2 linked regions of the Daphnia pulex genome follow. The main gene of each other region encodes a partner of the protein of the gene in region 2 in a complex. Links are inferred from orthologs where the notes say so. Each region holds a gene or a part of one and is shown on either strand. Other genes may lie near its edges.

Region 1 (10,623 bases), on a different chromosome or scaffold from region 2:
TATACTCGAACAGACATTGCGTCATACCTTTTGTTATACACCCAAAAGTCATAAAACTGTTGATCATTTTGGAGTCACAATCATCAGACATGGGCCTGTACGATAGGCTGTCGAAATGAATATTTCTTGTAGAGCCGATGATATCGGATCCCCTCCATTGAATAACAGGCCATCAATTTCAAACTCAACTGATTGTGTAAATGAACGTGGAGAGGGTTTTTCGAATAATATTATAATTTCTTCGGGATCGAATTGCGTCGATTCGACTCCGCAGTCTAAACTCTTATACAACACCACCGCAGTCTGTCTATCAATTCTAATGGCCTTCCGTAAAAGGTTATCAAGAGGTTATAGGGTTGTTTTGCGCGCTGCTAGCAACACGAATCCTCTCATCTACACAACTTGAATATAACGATCGATATTATTACCAAAAGTCTAAGCTACTACATCGTTAGCTGGGCCATAGAGAGATTAACAGTTCGTTCCAGACATTCTTCGGATAATTTTTCCACGGGCTCCGCAAAAGGTCATCTGGGTTGGTCCTGATGAGAGCGCGGTGACCTCTCAAAAGAAGAAGAAGATGAGCCATTCGGACACACGGCGTATCAGTGTCAACTGTCACAAACCCCCTCCATTGAGTTTGACTGGGCGTGTCGCACTCGTCTCCCTTTCACTCCGCTTAACTTCTCCTCTCTAGGCCTCTGACTGGATAGATGCGCATCGATCTGACGACTCGAGTGGATATATAACGTCATCCTCGTGCTATACAACCCTCCTTAGTACTTACTACTTCTACTACATGAGTTTAACTCGATCCTCATGAACAAACCTGCATAGTCAAGGTCTCAATATCGTTGGAAAAAAATAGGAGATGATGTTATTGTGTTTGTTTTTTGGAAGGGGGGGACCTACCATGGAGGTCAACAAGTAGAAACAGCTGATGATTGAGTTGTTATTCTCCTGGCGCCACAAAGTATATGTACGAAAAATTATTACAACTGTTAAAGTGTGTGTGTCTATAGGCCGAGTGTAAATAATTTAAATGGTCGGAAGTCAATACTATCTAAAGTGCGGAGTTGTCGAATAGTAAATCATCCGTCGTAACATCTTCTTCGACTTCCTCCCCTCTTGTTGGTTGCATGTTATTATGCGCACCACCCCACCCCACCCCGTTTTCTGTGAACTGGGACCGACGGGAATTTCTTTTTACTCCGCGACGGAAGAGAATAAAATTTGTGGGTCTCTCCTTGTCGCTTTCGATTCCGGTCATTCCGGCCCGTCGCCCGCTTTTTTATTTATTTCCCTCCCTCCGTCTGGACGATGGGGAAATTTGCTAATTCCCAACATCTTAGCGGCCTGTTACGTCGACGTTCATTCAAATGATGACGATTGATATTTGCATAATCATCGCCGACTGTCAACAACTCTTGATTTTGATTACATTTACTTCCTATAATGATGTTAGAGTGCGAGATCTGGTCTCTCATTCCGGTCCGTCTAAGATGACACTACGGCCGTTCAACTTATTTTCTGACCCTTTTTTTTTCTCAATTGGGTTGTTGACGTGTTTAATGGGCGGGGGTTGGTGCTGTTTTATCCATGGCATTATTCATATGGACGGATGATTGAATTAACTCATTACGGCCGACGCCATCCAGCGGGCACATCTACCGTGCCGAATCCGAGTGGTCGATGACTTTGCCTCGTCTGCTGTCTGCTCTGGGCATTTCATTGGCGATCAAGTGACGGGCATATCCAGCTAGGAGCCAGTTCAACGGCTCCTATTTCAGCAGATTCAACTCGACTGACTATAATGTACAGAAGAAGAAGGTGTTCAGCGAAAACAAATCGAGTTCAGCTTCTTCATTAAAGTGTGAATAACCTTTTTCAATTTTAAAAAAACATTATTGGGGCTAGACAACCAAACTCTTCCGGTTTTGGATATGTAATATACTCCGGCGCATTACAAATAAACAAATCAGTGTCCTATTACCGCAGGCCTATATAGGCCCCACCCCCCTCTTCCGCGTAGTACATGGACGACACGCGACTTAAATGAATGAAGTTAAGGGCGAGAAATTCATCCGTCAAAAAGTTGTTGGATGAATAGATTCTTCTTCCAGTTAAGCGCTGACAAAGAAGTTTTTGGGGTAGAGAAAAAACCCGATGGTGAGGAGGATGGCGCGACAGGTCATATCCGGGCGCGAAAAAGGAGACCTGTGTCTGCTGTGTGTTGATGGTGGTGGGTGCACGAACAAAGTAGAAGAGGATACGCAATCTGGTTGTGGTCTCCATTTTCCTTTTTTTCGTTGCCATTCGAATAAGACACACACAGAAAAAAATAACTCGACTCCATATGTGTTTGTGTGTGTCTCTGCTGCTGTGTGTAACCGTAGCTAACACAAACTGCGCGCTCAGGGGTTATGTCTACACGACGTTATAACGGCCGCGACTATGTGGAACCAGCAACACACACAAGTCTCGGGGCCACAAGAAAAAGAATGATGACCTGCAGCATGGGGTCTCCAGGCCGTTTGCTGCTGCTGACATCGGAGTTTTTCCTAGTACATAGGAAGAAGAAAACAATCAGCTAGGGAAGGAATACGAACGGGTTGCGCGCCTGCGTAATGAGACGAGAAAATAGTCTTGAAAGGAGGGGTGGGGGGTGGAAGGGTGGAATATGACAGGCACAATGTCGTCCATCAAACTTTTTTTCAAATTAGCACGTCCCTCGTTTTGGTAAAAAAGATTTGGTGGTTTTACTACCAGCAAAAACTATATCGCGTGTGCTTTTATCGGCCCCTATGAACTCCTGGGCGCCCTCAGACCGGATTTGCATATTTGTGGGCGGTTGGGTGGGAGTGCAACGATCGATTGATGAAAGTAATCCAAGTCTGTGGAAAAACGACACAGTCATCGGGCGACTAGAAGCTGAAAATGGCGGCGTATTATTAATGGACGTCGATTATTGATAGCCATCGCTAAAAACAGCCGAGTGTAATCGACCATTTCCTCACAGCAGCAGCGACAAATTCGATATCTACGCATATCACACATGTACAGTTTAAGATCTACGGCGTATAGGGTTGATCGCGTCTACTAAGGAAATCGATCGACATTTAATCGCTCCAATCGGCCGGCTCTCGGGTTCGCCCAGCAGGAAGTTGGGGTGTAATATTAAACTGGCGGAGCCTATAGTATTTTCTATATAATTATTATTCCAAATATCTGAATGCAGAATAATTAAACCAATTCAATTATGTGTACATAGTAAATAATTAAAAAGAGTTGAATCGCCAAACAAAAACATATTTACGCTTTGAGAAGTGTCCGTGTGTAGGAGAGTAGCAGCAGCAGCCCCCATTGAGATAGGCCCAAGTGGTGGGTGACCGTGTGCGTCGGTTTAACAACACTTGTCGACAAGCTTGTCGACTCCTTATCAGCATAAACTTCTTGGTTGGGGTTTTTCTAAAAAAAAAAAAGGAAACACAAAAAAATATGTTGTTAAACAGCAGCTAGCCTGGCGACGCTCTTATGTATCTTTTTGGGAGCTACTTTGAAAGAAACAGTAGCAAGAGAGGCTTTTATCTTTTCTTTTCGTGTTATTTGTAAAAAGAAAAAAAAAAAATTCTCTGGCCTCCCGTCGCCATGTTGATGCGTGTAAATCTTATTAGGGTTTTTTGTTTTTTTGGGTGGCGGCCAATGTGGCATAGCTACTACGCTGGTGGGAAGTTCAGTCCCATTTTTGTGTGGGGTGTGTGTGTGGGGGCTTCTATTTTCTTTATTGTTTGTTTTGTTTCTTTTTTCGTCTATTTTTCCCCCCGCCGTTTTAACAGCCGAAAAGATTGTCAACTAGCCGACAGATTTACTGGTGTACCTTCCAGCCCGCGCTCTCTATACGGCTGCTGGAAATATAACTCGCCCGCGTGAGTGCCCCCCACCTTGTCTAGCGCAAGGGGAAACGGTAAAAAAATAAATTCCACAGGCATTCTACTATATAACTCGCTCGACTTTCAAGACGGTGGGAAGCCAGCAATGACTCCTAACGAATCGCCAAACACGAAGGCGGGCGTTCCCGTTCATCTCTCGACACCGGGGCAGCACCACCATCCCAAGTGGCGTGATAACAACGGAGGATCGAGAGGACTTGGTGGGTTGTGTGTGTGTGCAATCAAGACGGATCCGATTGCAAACGATGGGGAAAGACGTGCAAGGTGATCCTCACCAACGACCGTTGAACTTGCTGCTCCTCCACAATCGAAAAGAAAAAAAAAGTGGCCATTATAAAATTTATTATTGAAACTTAAATCAAATGATACAAAAAGATATGGGGTCGGAGGGAACGGATTTCACTTCCACAGGACGCAGATGTCGACATCGGCTTCGATTTTGTCGTCCAGTTCGTGGTAGGACAGTCCGGTGCGGCAGCAGATCTCGTCGTAAGAGGCCACTCCAGTGCACAGCCGATGCAACGAGGTCATCTGTTTCTTGTGCGATCCGCGCTGCGTCTCCGGTTTGTACACCGGATACTAGCCCATTCAAACAGCGTGCAAATTGAGTTATCAGTTCAATGGGAAATGGGTTATTCGAGAACCGACGTCCAGGAAGAAATCGAAATAATCAATTGGATTAATCAACAGCGCACACTCGCTAACCTTGCAAATGCGGCGGATGATGCCCTGCAGGACGCCAAACTGGACTAGCCGATGTTCGTCGATGCGAAGCGCGTGCGGATTGAAGCGCAAGCACAGGTCTCTTATGGTAGTCCCGTACGTCATCCCACTGTCATCGATTACAAAATGAATTCATTTAGGGGGGATTTGATAAGAATTAGAGGATAAACTCACCAGTACATTTGGAAAACATCTCGGAAGGAAGGAGGATGTCTATCTGTAATATAAACGAGAGAAGAAATTCACAGTCAACTTGAAAAGTGGATAAGATGATAACAAGACACTTGGTATTCTTCTCTACCAGATTTGGCAACAAAAGCGATGCACTCTCGACTCAAATCTGAATTCATGGGCAGTTCTCGGAGTTTGGGTGTAGCGGCGTACATGTTGCTGTACTGGAAGATGGGAATGAGCTGGACGACGCCGTAATATCTAACCGAAAAGAGAAAATAAGGTCAAGAGAAGGACAGCACTTGACTACTATATCAATTGACTTACAAGAGATTTTGAATGCAGGCTTTGACCAAACCAATGTCCACGTCGGCCTCGATTGCCACTCTAGCGACATGGCTGCGTCCATCAATGTATGGCAGTACCTTACGCACGAAAAAGGGTTATTAAAATGAATAAAATAAGAGAATCATTTTCGTTTACCTGTTTGGTTGTTAGGTCCCAATAGTCTTGTTTTAAAGGAGAAAATTCTGACGTGAACACGGGAACGTGGTGGTCAAATACCAGGGGTGGCTCAGCAGCTACTTGGATCACTTTTAAGTGCAGTGTTGAGGTCCCAACTGATCAAATCAATTTGTAAATGTCGGAAACGGAAATGTTAGACAAAAAATGAGAATCTTCATGTACCTACCTGTAACTGTGCACAAGCCACCCCGATTGAGATCACTTAGAATTTGACCTAAAATTTTGGGCAACTTGGCCCTGTTGGATTCAGTGGATAAAAAATTCTGTTCAACTTCCAGGGTGACCAAATGCTCAGCTAATTTCCTAACTACAAGCTCATACTGCACTGTTCTGGCATCAGAGTCACACACAAAGCACAAGTTGAAAATGAGAAAGTTACGTGGGTATTTTTCATCTGAAATGCGCACTGGATATCCTGTAGGTTTTAGAAAAAAGGATGGTAATGAGTCAAAATACTTGGACTGTTAGAATTCTTGAATAAAAACCTGTTATCTTGTGCCCTAGTACATTCACTGTAATGATACAACTGTCCAGCTGCTCTTTAGGAATGATGTAAACACTAACTGCATCAAATATTTCTTTGGAAACATAATCCTCTGGCACCTTTTAATCGATATTAAGACAAAGCACTGAAACAACAAAATTACTTTATTTTACACACCACTACACCATTACCTGGTAACTGATTTTGGGCCCCAACGTAGGATGAAACTCGGAAAAAAATATTGCTTTGATCATTTTTCTATTTGATTTACTCGACTATATCACTTGGATAGTCAACCTATGAAAAAGGATTTCTTTAACATGAGTAATTCACATTAAAAATCAAAAAAATTAGTTAAAATGATAAGGAACACACAAAATCGCCCCTTTATTTGATTTAGGCTACCGTCTGAAGCGCCATGTGAGGTCTTGTTTACAGAAACGCCACCATTTCAAGCCATCACTTATTTACAGGGAAATTTTTCAAGTAACGAAGTTATAGTGATTTAGGTCCAAGGCACTTGAATTTGATTAGTTTGCAATATTCGCTGATTAATCGGACCTGGAAAAGTGTCTAAGAAATGACCATTTTCTGCCTCTCAGATTACACATAAACATAAACATCAACGTCAGCGCCGCGTAGCGACAATCTTATCGTCTTTCATCACAAACTGTTTGATTACGAGTTTACGACCGAAGTTGGGCTGGGGCGGGAGGGGCAGCACTAAAAATTTACGAAAACGAAAATTTGAATTTGAACTGTTTGATTACGACCGGAGATTGGGCTTGGCAGGGGCGGGACCAAGGGCCAAGTAGTCCAGTCATTTTAGCTGAAAAATATACGAGTATACCTAGAACAAATTTTAATTAGAAATTTTTCATGAACACTATTTCTAATTTTTTTTCTTTAATTACCAATGAAGGAGGACAAAAGCGACCATTTGGATCGTTTAAAAAAATGTAAATGAAAATTTGTAATTGGGAATTAGGGGTATAATTATAACGATTTATAAATGTTTAATACATGTAATCATAGTTTATCTATCAATAAACATGTGTTGCAAATTTGAATCAATTTGATTGACATTTACTATTTTTTCATGAATTTATTAGTTATACACATTGTTTTTTATTTAAGAAATTTTTTCGCCGTGTTTAACACGGCGCTTATGGCGGAATCCCAAAACTAAAAATTCATACTACATAAGAAAAAAAAACACCCGAAAATCCCCACTTAGTCTTATTTTGAAGCCCGTTTATCCTTCTTTACTTTTTTCAATTACATTTATCAAAAGTAACACAGCAAAAAAGTTATTGGAATAAGAAAAAAATACCCTTTTTCCAGTTTTACCAAATGATTTATAACACACCCACAAGGGGGACATTTTTTGTTGCCGCTGCAACTTTATCTCGACTAAAAAATGTCCCAGTGTCACTATCAGCTCTTGTTTGAGCTTCGTTTTTGTGGCCGAAGTGTCGATGAAGATGACAGCTTTCACTCCTCATGGCTATTGGCAGTCTCGTTGCAATTGCTACGATGCTTTGGTCAGTCATATGGGTCTGGTCTGGGCAATAACCACTTACACTATGGGCGTAATAGCTTCATCGATGATTCGGGAACTTTTTTTGGTTTAATTCAGAAACCAAAATAGTTGAAATGATTAATTACCAATTCAACTTTAATTGCTGTAGCGTCAGAAATTGGGTGGACAGCATCATTAGTTTCAGCAAAGTCCAACTAAAGACACATTCAATGTGAAAAATAAGTACAAATTATGAATACAGAAATACAACATACCTTATTGTCAAAAGTATCTGATGTTACCGGTACATCTTCAATTTCAGGTGCATCAACAGTCACGTAGACAGCATCACCATTTGCAGATCCTTGGTCCACCTAAATAAAATAGAAATAACAACATTATTATTAAAGGTTAGATTAGGTTTAATTCAGGAACCAAAATAGTTGAAATGATTAATTACCACTGCTGTAGCGTCAGAGGTTGGGTGGACAGCATCATTAGTTTCAGCAAAGTCCAACCCAGGTAGCACACAGACTCTGTTTCAGGTCTGTTTCAGATCTGTTTTTGAGAGTCTGTAAATTGTTTGGAGTGGCACACTTTTACAGACTGTCATACAGGTCTGTGACAGATCCGTAAAACGGGATCACGATTTACAGACCAAAAACAGATTTTCAAGAAAAAAAAAGATTTGCCTCCTTCTGGAATCGAACTATCAACCTCTGAGTTCACAAGCCAGTACGCTAACCACTACACCATAACTCGATATTATGTTCTAGATATATTTCATAATGATGTATATTTCACAGTTGTACACTTGTTCATTCAACAAACAGTCTGACATGTCTCTCTCACGAAACTGATTGCTACATATGACTACCACTGGTCTCTTCCGATAGTAACAAGACCAAGATTGGCCCCACACCAATTACAAGTCTTTATTATACCTATTTATGTATAATAATACTTCTCCGTCCGGTGGATAAACAACTATTGTTGTTGTTCGAGTAGGCCTACTGAACTAAACTCATAGCCATTAGCTGCATTGACTATTAGAGTGTAACTTCTTACTGCATGGTATTGCAGTGATATTACACATATAAGAAACGTTTAATTCAGTTTTCCATTGGGATCCAAACATGTACCATACTTGGGATACAGACACAGATACGATGATTACTGACTTATAGGTGTTACAAGGGAAATAAAGACCCGTACATACCTGGGGCACAAACACAGAACAGATAATCACTGAACTAAGTTTTACATAGAAAATACAGACCTGTACCATACCTGGGGTACAAACACAGAACAGATAATCATTGAACTCAGTTTTACATAGAAAATACAGACCTGTACCATACCTGGGGTACAGACTCTGAACAGATGATAACTGACTTATGTCTTACAAGGGAAATACAGACCCGTACCAGACCTGGAGTACAGACACAGAACAGAAACATATTGTACTCGAAAATACAGAGTAAAAACAGACAAGTGACAAACATGGGAAACAGAGCTAAATCAGAAACAATTTTCTCAAGTAAAAAACAGATCTGTAACAGGTCTGTAGTACAGTTAAAAACCAGATTTATGTATTACAGAAAGATAACAGATCTGTTCCAGATCTGTGAAACAAACTTTTACCAAATCCTGTAAAACAGAGCCATTCCAGACAAATTTCCTGTAAAACAGAGATGTAACAAGCCTGATACTGACCTGTTTCACAAGTATGTGAAACAGATCGGTTACATGAGTCTGTAACAGCTCTGTGTGCTACCTGGGAACTAGACACATTCAATGTGACAAATAAGTACAAATTATGAATACATATATAAATACAACATACAGTATTGTCAAAAGTAGCCAATGTTACCGGTAGCACATTCAATTTCAAGTGCATCAATATTCATGTGGACAGCATCACTCTTTGCATATCCTTGGTCACCCTAAAAAAATGTTCAATGTAGCAAGTAAGTTAAGTAAAACACATAAATAAAAATACAACAACAAAAGTTAGACAAGTGGCTGTTCGACCAATAACTCAAGGTTCTTGGTGAAGAATGTTGGATTTGGCCTAGTTTGTACTCATCCGTTGACTGCAAATATGCTCATAAGGCCATAAGGGGCAACTAATTCTCCTGTCACGTCTGCCAACAAAACCTGCCTGTAATTCTAGGTATAACATTTTTAATTTTTCCAAAAAGAATTTTATTTGCAGCAATGAAATTAGAACAAATGTTTTGGAACATAGGGTAAACAGTTTTGAAGGATAGTTAGGTGTCACTCAGTGACTTAGTCGGTATCTAGAATTAAGATCTATTGTCAGTAAAAAAAATTGTTTTTTTTGTGTGGAAAACCTACCCGAAGCACTGCAGTACTTTTGAAAATCCTTGACCAAGTTAAACTTTTTTTAAAATTCTTTGGACCACGCTTGGTCAAACGACGTTTCCTCATACGGCTGGGCCCTGCAACATCCGATTTCTCTAACTCTGTTTATTTATTAATTATAAAATATTATAATCATTCTATATTAATATCTATGCATTAACCGTTCTCACCCCCAGACTCCTTCTCTCCTTCAGCCTTGGCATTGTACTCCACTTCTTTAACGGCTTCTCCCATGTGAGGGTCTGCTTCACCAGATTCTGCTTCTCCAACCTCCTCATTCTTTCCTTCAGCATCACATTCAGCTCCTCCAACAATTCCACCATCAGGGTTGTCAAGAGCCTTGACATTTGCAACTTCAATGGCCTCATCTGCATCGGACAAAAGTGGATGTGGAGGGACTGAACTTATGAACTATTTAGTTTTTAAAAGGTTTTACCATTTTCTTCAGGATCTACGCCATCAGAACTTCCCTCCTCAACAACAATAGGCAAAACATCAAAGTCTGCGTCACAAGATACATATTCATAAGTCTCCATATCCAGCCCTGTAAAGAATGTCAGCCTTAGAAAGTAATTTATTTAATGTTTAAGTTGTATTACTTGGTTCCAAGCACATAGGGCATATATGCCCTATGTGGGGTCTATGCACATCGTAGAAGACCAAGCGTTGAATTGGTTGTTTTATTTTCATTTTGTCTATAATTTCTGAAGAAATGAAATCTTTTAGTACTACTATCACTTTTTTATGTAGTTAAAACTTACCACATATGCGATTGGCTTCCTTTATCTTTTCCTTTAGTCCTTCGTAGAATTTTTTTCCCGCTGGAATGCGTCGATCATGCTGGCTTGGGACATTTTCCA
Region 2 (10,959 bases):
GCCAAGTGTTCAGTAACAATCAAAACAATGCTTGAGGATCTAGGTAATATTTTTCAATAAGCTTAATGTTAATGTAACAAATAAAATCAAAAGTTGCACCACAAAGATATTTATAGGCAAATGCGTCATTATTTTCTTTTCAAATGCTTAAAAAAGGTAACGTTCAATTGAAATTCAATTTTGGTTTTAGGAATGGATGAAGATGACGAAGAAGTTGTTCCTTTACCCAATGTCAATTCTGCTATTCTACGTAAAGTAATTCAGTGGGCAACTTACCACAAAGATGACCCCCCACCACCAGAGGATGATGACAATAAGGAAAAACGTACTGATGATATCTCATCATGGGATGCTGATTTCCTCAAAGTAGATCAAGGAACTCTGTTTGAACTCATCTTGGTAAGTGTTCATTTTCTGATATCACACCTATGAAAACATTCTACAATTGTTTTAAGTTAAAAATGTTAGTGAAATGTAATGTACATATTTTTGTTTTTAGGCTGCCAATTATCTGGATATTAAAGGCTTGCTGGATGTTACTTGCAAGACTGTTGCAAACATGATCAAGGGGAAAACCCCAGAAGAGATTCGCAAGACCTTCAACATCAAGAACGATTTCACCCCTAGTGAGGAAGAGCAAGTACGCAAGGAGAACGAGTGGTGCGAAGAAAAGTAAATTATCTCGACGAAATTTTGTTTTCACATGTTACATGTACCTTTGTATCCAACTTCATGTTTTCAAGCCAAGAATACAATAAATTAAAAAGCAGTTTTAAGTGTATAGTCAAACAAAAGAACAAGTTGTACGAAGTTCCGTAGTGCACTGGTGAATTAACTGTATGTTTTAAAACAGCTCGTGCTTTAGACAACCTCCCGTTTTGCCAATTATAATGTACAAGTTTTGGTTTTTTTGTGTGTGTGTGTGTGTGTGTGTGTCAGTGTGTTGAACACTGCATTATTTTTAGATTTTGTTTCGTTAGATGGTCTCCTGAAAATGAGCATATCAAGAAAAAGATAAAGGGACTCGCGGATTATATCCGGGCTTAGCTACTAGAAATGCTTTGCAAGTTAGACACCATCATTGGTTTTCATAGGTAGATGATAGGCATGATACCTTGACGGCTTGACCATTAATTTTATAATTTTCCCTGCATACGTTTTGTATGCATAATATGTAGTGTTTCTTATAATGTGCATAGATTGCATTTTCTTCGTAGAAATAATTGTTCACGGGAAGTCGGAAGAAAATGTTCACTGGTGCGTGCTGATGGTTGCCGAAAGTCTATTTAAAAATTAACTATAGATTTTAACTTAAAATGATCAGTAGTATTATTATGTAAGGGTCATGAGATGATGAGACATTGATTGAATCACCACTCCGGAATGCGGAAGCATTCTCAATAAGTTCCTTTGAATCGAATCGAATCGATTTGAATTCGAAAAAAAAAAAAAAAAAATCCTTGAATCGTCTGCTACTTGCTTGCGCGTTACGCCCTCATGAATTTTCGGTTCGTCTGTTCTGTTTATATTTTCTTCTTTCAACTTTTTCTATTTCTACTCCTCAATTTAAAAAAAGTAATCAAATAATTAGATTTAATGAAGTTTGTAAATTTAATACTAATTATAATGGAAAAATGGTGTTCTCAAATGGGAATTTTATTCAATAATATAGGCTAAGTCACCTAACTGAGATTTTCTCTACTCTGTCTTTGAAATGACATTATCTTTGTGTTTGTGTTTCAATTTCTGAGCTTTCAGTTTACTTGTTTTTTAATGTCTTCAATTTTTTCTTAGGGAGAAGAAAATGGCAGCCAAATGGAGTAATGAATATGTAGTTGCTGAACATAAGGATCTACAGGTAATAATACTGTTTTAATTTTGTTTTTTTTTACTTTACAAACAAAAATAAATAATAACAAGTGGGTTCTTTCATTTAGGCAAGCACAATGGCTCTTGATAGTTCTGGACAATATGTGCTATTGGCTGGGTAAATAAATTTTTGAATAACTCATTTAATAATTTTGATATGATTGAAGCACTCTTTGACATTCCAATTCATTCATAATTTATTAATTGTTTTTTGTTTTTATATTTTACTCTTCAAGACGAAGGTGCTTAGCAATTGTTGATGTTGACAATCCATCAGTAGTGATAAAGAAGTTTCCTCGTCAAAGCAAATGGGAGGTTGGATCAGCTGAATGGAATCCACACTCACATCTTTCACACCTATGTGCCATATCGGTATTTGTACTACTTCAATGTTGCATTTACCATGCAGATTTTTGAACAGTTTCTGTTATAGAGCAATCAACGAACAGAGATTCTTTCATGGAATTCTATTGACTTCACACCTCTCTATTGTTTACGTTTCCACACGCGTGCAGTCAGCGATTTAAATTGGCATCATTTTGAACCTTATCTCTTGGCTTCCTGTTCAGTTGACACTTATATTAACATATGGGATATTCGAGACCCTCGAAAGCCATGCGTTTCCCTCTCTGCCGTAGGTAAAATAAAATGGGACAAAATTTAGTATAATACAAATAGGATCTGTATAGTCTAAATATTGTTTACAGTTGGAGCTACTCAAGTGCGATGGAACCGCGTTACCAGCCATTTACTAGCAACTGCTCATGAGGGAGACGTTCGACTATGGGACTGGCGGAAAGGGAGTTCCCCCGTGCAATACATTGCGGCACATTTGCACAAAATTCATGGGCTTGACTGGAGTGCTAACCAAGAATATCAGCTTGCTACTTCCAGTCAAGATTGTACTGTTAAATTCTTTGACGTAAACAATCCCCGTGTAGTCGAGAATGCCCTTAGAACCGTGTCTCCGGTTTGGCGAGCGCGATTTACTGTAAATATGACAATTTCTTAATTTTTTTTTTTTTTTTTTAGTTATTTGTGTGTGATAAATCAATAGTTAATAGAACTACTAATTAACGATATTTTTTTTCTTTTGCCTGTATAGCCCTTTGGCGATGGCATGATGACAACACAATTACGACGAGGAGAAAACAGTTTGCTACTTTGGAGTCTATCCGATTTGTCTAATCCGGTTCATTCGTTTCTTGGGAATAACGATCTAGTTCTTGAGTTTGATTGGAAATCTTCCCGTTCCGGTATAATCAAACGTTCAAATTTAAATTTTTGGACTTTGAAATTATTTGATTTTTATATGTTTAGATGACGACGACTATCAACTTATCACCTGGTCAAAAGATCAGAGCTTACGAATTTGGAGAGTGGATGTTAACCTTCAAAAAGTAGGGCGAATTCAAATTTCAATTATTTTTCTGGTTTATGTAAAAAAATATTTAAAAATATTCTTTTTGCCAGTTATGTGGCTATGAACCTGAAAATCAACCACAAATCGTATATGAAGAAAACGAATCGACTTATGACGTTACTGGTGACATAAATTCATTAATTATTAGCATGAAAAATCTGTTTTATATTGTATTATTTAATTATTTAATATGTTCAGCTGTTGACGCAATTTCAACAAAAAGCGACAAAGACATTGAAGTTGGGCTTGAAGTAGTGGAAGAAACCTATTTAGACCTTCACCATAGTTTGGCACCGTCTATAATTGTACCTGACTCGTTACGCCTAGCTGGACATAAAACTGTAGCAGCCTCTATAGCTGCAGCACAAGCTGTACTAACCAACACGTTATCACCAACATCCCATCGGAAAAAGAAGTCTGCGCTGTCAATAAACAGTAGCATCGTCGGAATAGATGCGATTTCTCAACCTGAACATTATTCATTCAACAAGGAAATCGACCAACTTAAGTCATTAGGTAAATTTATGTCCCAAATGAACTATTAGTAATTAACTGAATACGTAAACTTTTCCCTGGAATAAATTTGTGGTTATTTTTCTGTTTCTTCAGGTTCCATTGGTACTGATAACTCTATCAGTGTTTGCGATGTAGACGAGACACAACGAAGCTTAACAACAGTGATTCGCACTGCAAAGCATCAAATAATACTTCATATTTCTATGCCTCCATCGTATCCCGACGGAGCGATTCCAAATTTTCTATTCGGAAAAGGAACGACTATTGACAACAATGCCAGAAGCAAAATGTTAAAAGTATTTCGAGAGAGTTTATTCTTGCGTAACTCAAAAGATTTATTTGACACGGCGGCATTGTACAGGTTTTGAAACAAGCAGCAACTCTATCGTGCCGCAAAGGTCATCCGTCTATAGAGCTCGTGCTACAACAACTTCTAATTTCAGTCGATCAGTTAACACCAATTGATAAGTCAGAAACGGAATCGTCAAAGACCATAACATTGAATGTCAACTCATCAACTACCGGAAATACTCCTTTCAGGTAACATTTAATTCGTATTTAGTTACTTAGATGAAACGTATATTCAATATGCTACTAAACATAATTAACGAATCTGTTTTCTAGGTTACCGCAAACTGGTCTTGGGCATCCTGGTTTCCTACAGAATGGCGGTTTATTTGGTAGTCTAACTCATCATCAAGACCACAATATTCCATACCCTCGGTCATCCGGTGCTCGATTTTGCAGTGCTGGTAATGTCATTAAAACAAAAAACATAAAAATATCCTTCAGCAAACTGCTATATTGATTTGCCCTTGTTTTATTTTATACAGGTATGCTGATTTGTTTTGGTCGACCATCCTATTTAAGGTTTTTGATTAATTGAAATGATTAATCGTACGACTAGGAATTCATCAGTTCTATTTTATTTATATAATTGAAGGCGTGTGAACAGTAAAACTTCGGACACTTCAACTACACCTCGTTCTCTATCCGTGAACCAAGCTTATTCATCAAACTTGGTACAGCATAGCTTGGTAGCTTCATCAAATACGACTCCTTATGGATTGTTGTATCCGCCCGTTGCTCAAAGTCCGACCGGTGATCCGTCAGTCAGCATCTCGTCTTTTTATAACCAAGACAGGGTAGGCTATACTTGGAAGTATTTCCGTGATTGCTGACATTAGCCTTTTATTAATGAGATAATTCCATTGCTGATTAAATAACAAAATATTTTGTAATTCATTCAGAGACAGAAATCTCGAACTTCTAAGTCGAAAAATAGACTTTCCTCTTATAGCTCGTCTTCAGACGAAAATAAAAGGGGAGCTCAAGAGGCACGTCATCATAAGGTGGTCGGAATGGTGACGATTTACGATGCTTCTGGATTGATGCCACAGCAGTTAGAATTAGCAGAAAGATATGTGTTAGTTTATCTTTTATATATTTTCTTGTATAATAATTCCTTGAATCAGATTTAGTCATAGTTTCATTACATATTTTTATTCACCAGATTTAGCGATACTGATACGGCATGGATGTGCAACCAAAATGCAGCGGTTGCTGCGCAGTTTGGCAGAAAAGATTTGACTTACATTTGGTCGTTGGGTGCCCTTCTGGCAACTCCTACCTTGATACACGAAAATAATACCAATGACCTTGATACCCCATGGGCTCAAAATCCATTCGGCCGGAAGCTTCTTCATGCGATGTATGTATATGTGTATTTATTTGATCTCTTTAGCGTATACTTAAAACAACACACCAACATTATAATTTATTACAGTATCGACCACTACGTGAAATTACGAGATATACAAACTGTAGCCATGTTGTGTTGCGCATTTGGTTACAAATGTGATAGTCAGGAAACTTTCCGGCGTAAAACAACACGATCGGAATCGGGCAGCGTAAGTGTAGAAGCTTATTTTAATTTTTTAACATGAAATCTGGCATTCTGAAACTTGGTATCACGATTAATAGCACTAGAACCGATAAGCAAGGTCTTACGTTTGATTGTTAAAAAGGTGATCGTCGGATTGGCTTTTCTCTCGAGTGTTCTGATCATAAAATCTTTTTTTATTCTAATTTCTTCGTGCTCGGCTTCCGTTTCCTGATTGCAATCTGGTTTCGCCTTCCTTTTTCAGGGGAATAATTGCATTTCAAATTCTTTGTGGTCTGTCCTTTTGTTTTTGGTTTTTTTTTTTTTTTTTTTTTTTTTTAACTAAATTATCTTGCTCCATAATATCGCTACTTCTTTGTCTCAACATGCTCTCTCTAACACTGTGGCTTATTTCCTTGGTGCTGCTGGGATTTTGAGAATGCTGACTGCGGGATATCAATGAGTTTTTTTTCCTACAGCGCAACTTACGGTGGGGTTTAAAGGTAGGCATATATTCCTCTAGATTTTACCCCCACGTAAGTGTGATGGTTTTTTTACATGAAAAATATCTAATCACAATAGTGGAGAATATGAGTTTTCCTATTTTTCCTCGCTTTTTTCTCTTTTAAGCTCTTATGATGAGTGAACTTTAATTATTCTGATGTTCAACATTAGCCAGGAGAATCACCGTATCATACAATACACCCGGGCGACACAACTTTAGATAGCTGGAATGTCTTAAAACAAATACGTTCAAATTCGTGGTCGGATTCACTTGATGATTTTCGTCTTGCAACTCCTGGAATTAACTCTGTCCCAAGTGGTCGCCCTTTGCCAAGTAAGGGCTTCTCCTTAAATTTTTAGAAATGTTATCAATTTTGTCTGAATGGGTTTTTATTTCAGTCGCTTCCATTTTCCTACCCCACTCTGTGACGAGCGTCGTTTCAGTGAATGGGACTGATGGAAGTGAAGAGTATAAAGACAAGGATTTCAGGTTTGAAATTTTTAATAATTTTGAAATTTTGATCGCATTCACATCAAGAGTTTTTATTGTTGTTGAATTTCGTAACTAAGCGTTTTCTTTTCTCAATTTGATTTCAAGATTACTAGATCCGAAATTTAATGGATTATTTGACAACTACCGTCGATGTTATGCTGATATCCTTTATCGCTGGGGACTTCTCGAGGCTCGCGTTTTGGTATGCGGATTAAAAATAATAACTTCTTGGCCGTACTTCTTGAAAACCAATTTTGTCTATTCAAGGTTTTGAAATATTTATCCACTCCCATTGATCCTCATAGAGGCGTGGATTTCGTAACTGAGTGTGTTCCTTGTAGGACTACGGTTAGAGGGCCGCAATGCACCCTTTGCAAGCGTTTGCTTCTCAATTGCGTTATTTGTCGAGTTGTTGTAAAAGGTAACTATCTTAAAACCATCTAGTAAATATCAGTCATGTAATAGCGTTAGAGGTGGCATAATGGTTGAATCATTTATTTTCAGGCTCTGCGAGTTTTTGTCTGGTGTGCGGACACGGTGGTCATGGTAGATGCATGTCGCATTGGTTCACTGAAGAAGACGAATGCCCTACAGGATGTGGTTGCAACTGCTTGTTGGAAAATAACACTGTGTTTTCCGTCTGATAATATATTAAATCGCATTAAATACGTTGAGACAAAGAATACATTTGGTTTACAAAAAACTTTGAAACTATACAAATTTGCTACAAAAGTAAAATTTCCGTTATTCTCAGGTTAAAATGTTAAATTTCTTTTTTATAAGAAACAAACGGAATACTTTTTTAAATATTTTTGCAGAAACAAAAAATATTATTAACAAATTTTTAAAAAAGTCCCGATAGGGATTCTAATTACGTTTCGACCCCAAAGCGTCACTTTATCGTTTCGATTACTTTAAAGTGGTCGGTCAACCCCCTGTGCAGTCCGTGACGTATTCCTAATACACTCATTTATGAACGCTCGTTACAAAAGTTGACGTTTTCCTAGCGAGTGATAAATGAGGTAACGTGTAATCAAATGTTGCTAACCTTTTAGGGGATTGTGGCTTATGATGTATAGAGGATAACGAAATTGGAGTGGGTCACTTCCGAGTGTGTGTCGAAACAAAACGGAACGACGGAGGTTGCGGTTTCTTGAAAAGGATAATTCACTCGTATGCACCAAATTACCGTTTGTCGAAAGTGACACGGCAGTGAGTTGCGACGCTCAAAACTGTCGACTAGTGAATCACGTCAAGTTATCCAAATCGTTCGGGGAAAAATAAAAATCCCTCCTTTCCTAAGGCTGAAATCATAAATGGTAGGTGTTGTCCAATATTTCCTAGTTTAAATTATGACATTTAACAATTATTCAACATGCTTCATTCCATGTCATGCAAAACAGGGAAGTTCATAATGCGGAATTTCAAATCTATTTTGGAAACATTTTACTTTGGTTACGTTTGCTGGATGTTGGTATTATCCAGCTCAGTATCGGCCGTCCACTCCAAGACGCCTTTGACGAAATGCTGTTTGAATTATCAAGCTGTAATTAATAATAATAATATACATTAAAAAAAAAAAAGATTTAAAATTAACAAATAATATCAATACAATCTGCAGTACATGGCGGAATTGGACGTCTGCCGCGATTGGAAAGGCTCCGTAACCCATTCGAAAATGTCCGCGGCCCCGCCCGTTTATTCTGTGGAGAGGAGTGCTGAACCCACTCCCGTCCGCGTTGAATCAAACAGTTTTCAAATGACGCATCGCCTCAAACGCTGCCCAAAAGGCTACGTTGGAATGAGTTCCACGGAATTCAGATTTTACGAGGACGGCTCCATTTTCAGCCAAGACGAACACGTCACTTACCAATCCGGAGACTTTTGCATCCAAGAATCCTTTCCTTCCGGACAGTTGATAGCCCGCTACTGCGTCCGAGATCCGTGCAACCGCACAGACACCTGCATCCGTAAATGCTGTCCAACCTTCAAGGCGTTCGATATTTCCACGACGCGCTGCATCAATTACTCGAGCCAGTTGAACGTGACGCTTTACAATCAAACCGGCTATTCGCTTAACCTGAAATCCGAAGAAATGTTCGTTCGGGACGGAGTAGCTCCACAGTGTAAAGATGGCTACAAGCACAAGCTTCTCAATCAACACGATTACCATCTGAGATCCAACGGTCTATTATTCGTATTCCCCAAAAAACGATGCTCTTCACAGAGTCAGACTGATGTTGACCTAATAACGGATGAATATTGTGTTGATTATTTCATGGACGTTGACGGCACGGTAACTAGATTTGAAAAATACCTGGAATTAATTTTTCCGAATTTTCAATAAGCTTTTGGTGTAATAATGTAGTCCGCTCAACATGCTCTGGTCTGTGTCGCAGCCGATGATACAAATCCTATTTATTCCATCTTCTTGTTCATCTCGTCTTTCTTCCTAGTCGCCACATTCGCCGTCTACGCCCTCATTCCTGAAATTCGAAACATCCACGGTTGAAATATCAATTTATGCGCATTTTGAGTTCCAAAAAATAATCTTGACCATCTATAACACTATAATAGGTGTGGTTATCATGTGCTACGTTGTCTCCCGAGCTGCTGCTTACCTGATTTTTGGCACTCTCCAATTGGTTGGCACAACCCGATCGACTGTCGCTTGCCGAATTATGGCCATCCTGATTCATTTCTCCTACATTTCCACCTACACCTGGCTCAACGTTGTTTGCTTCGACATCTGGTGGACTTTGAAGTAGGAACAATTTCACGACTCTCTCTTGTGTGCACTCCAACTATATATATACATTTGGTTTGTGCAGATCCATGCAACCGTGTAGTTCCGTCAACACGGCCATCCGTCAAAATCAACTGGGCAAACCTTTTTTCGCTTATTCGCTCTATTCGTGGGGTCTGGCGGCCGTCATCGTAACAGTCGGACAGGTTTTAGATTATTACAAGACTTCCGAGGCCGTCATCAGACCCGAATTCGGAGAGGACACCTGCTGGTTTTCAAGTAAAAAATTAAAAAAGAAAAAAAAAAATTGATAATGTGACAGACTGACATTTACAGCTTTTTTAACTGATGACCATGAAAACACTGTGATATCACCCCACAGGTTACGGAGCCATGTTCGCTTACGTGTACGGTCCGGTTTGCGTCTTGATTTTCGTCGATATCATCTTTTTCGTCATGACAAGCATTCTACTTCGACGAGCTGGGATCGGGTCGGGAAATCGCCACTCCCGCGAGAAATACCGGTTGGTCTGCCATCTTTTCTTTTCTTCCCATCAATACATACACCGTCATAAATGTCTTCACTTTTTGGCATGAATCATTTGAATATATTTAATTCAACAGCTTGCGCGTCATTTTCGGCTTGTTCGTCCTGAAAATCGTTTCGTGGTTGGCCGAGTTCGTGGCGTACGCCATCGGCTGTCTCAACGAAGCGGCGTTCGTCATAGACGTCATCGAAACCTCGTCCAGCGTCCTGACTTTCGCCATCTTCGTCTGCAAGCCCAACGTTTGGCGCTTGTTCAAGCAGAAATGCCCTTGCCTGGAACGACTGGAACGCGCTCGCCCGTACAGCGCAAACTACGCCAACCGGAGCAGCAACCAACTGACGGCTTCGACCAACATTTCTTCCAGGGAAATCCTCCACAGCGACTTGATCAAAACCTTATCGCAACGTCGAGAATCTGATAAACCCGTTTAATCCCAGCCGAGACATGTCTGAAATATATACAAACAATTGGCCAGGCCTGTAATACAATTTTGCGAATTATTTTTATTTTTTTGGGACGCGCTACAAACTTGAAATTCAGGTGGTGGCGGGTAATTTGGGGGATTTTTCCGATAACTCCTTGTTGATTTTCAACTGCAACCGGCGGACTTGAAAGGTGTTGGACATTGGACCGTGGGTTTTCATTGGCAAAGCGCCGCTGAGATTAGCGCAGGCGAGTTTATTGCCCAGTTGGCATGCCTTGACGTCGTACTTGTAGGCGGTGGAAACATTCTTCTCCAGCAATCCCGGCACGCCGACCAGATAAGCACCTCCAGCCAGATAACAGCTGTCGTCACAGCCCAAATTGCAGCCTCGATCGAGCATTTCGACGACCAGCAAGTCCGGCTTTTCTTCATCAACAACTTGTCTGACGTTGCCATCCGAAACAATATCCAGGGCGGTGTTCAAACAGGACTTGGCTCGACCCAACTGGCATCCCTTGCGATCGTAGCGAAAGCTCTCGATTGGATCGACGCCA

The links. Proteins that work in one complex are often made in the same cells at the same time.
Region 1: GATOR complex protein WDR59-like (region 2) and GATOR complex protein NPRL2-like share a complex: the UniProt entries of both Drosophila melanogaster proteins name them as parts of the GATOR complex. The link is inferred for Daphnia pulex from reciprocal best matches to the Drosophila melanogaster genes Wdr59 and Nprl2.

Annotation. Positions count from the first base shown.
Region 1 is NC_060028.1:1,953,218-1,963,840, forward strand, and holds GATOR complex protein NPRL2-like, read right to left. Parts: upstream 6,495-10,623; 5' UTR 6,229-6,494; exon of another isoform or gene 6,151-6,228; 5' UTR 6,108-6,150; coding exon 6,045-6,107; intron 5,973-6,044; coding exon 5,855-5,972; intron 5,785-5,854; coding exon 5,536-5,784; intron 5,465-5,535; coding exon 5,328-5,464; intron 5,270-5,327; coding exon 5,172-5,269; intron 5,106-5,171; coding exon 4,975-5,105; intron 4,891-4,974; coding exon 4,848-4,890; intron 4,783-4,847; coding exon 4,656-4,782; intron 4,530-4,655; coding exon 4,350-4,529; 3' UTR 4,276-4,349; downstream 1-4,275. UniProt on the Drosophila melanogaster protein: An essential component of the GATOR subcomplex GATOR1 which functions as an inhibitor of the amino acid-sensing branch of the TORC1 signaling pathway.
Region 2 is NC_060019.1:12,024,815-12,035,773, reverse strand, and holds GATOR complex protein WDR59-like, read left to right. Parts: upstream 1-1,467; 5' UTR 1,468-1,497; coding exon 1,498-1,508; exon of another isoform or gene 1,509-1,575; intron 1,576-1,794; coding exon 1,795-1,858; intron 1,859-1,937; coding exon 1,938-1,987; intron 1,988-2,105; coding exon 2,106-2,241; intron 2,242-2,302; coding exon 2,303-2,507; intron 2,508-2,576; coding exon 2,577-2,860; intron 2,861-2,974; coding exon 2,975-3,125; intron 3,126-3,189; coding exon 3,190-3,269; intron 3,270-3,342; coding exon 3,343-3,415; intron 3,416-3,490; coding exon 3,491-3,808; intron 3,809-3,901; coding exon 3,902-4,104; intron 4,105-4,169; coding exon 4,170-4,348; intron 4,349-4,432; coding exon 4,433-4,560; intron 4,561-4,641; coding exon 4,642-4,678; intron 4,679-4,751; coding exon 4,752-4,953; intron 4,954-5,058; coding exon 5,059-5,234; intron 5,235-5,321; coding exon 5,322-5,519; intron 5,520-5,594; coding exon 5,595-5,718; intron 5,719-6,128; coding exon of another isoform or gene 6,129-6,169; and 13 more. Other genes in the region: S-phase kinase-associated protein 1-like, read left to right, coding at 1-43, 191-399, 500-676; G-protein coupled receptor Mth2-like, read left to right, coding at 8,102-8,233, 8,309-8,983, 9,056-9,194, 9,265-9,451, 9,519-9,712, 9,816-9,957, 10,058-10,412; cytochrome c oxidase assembly factor 7 homolog, read right to left, coding at 10,518-10,959. UniProt on the Drosophila melanogaster protein: A component of the GATOR complex, which functions as a regulator of the amino acid-sensing branch of the mTORC1 signaling pathway.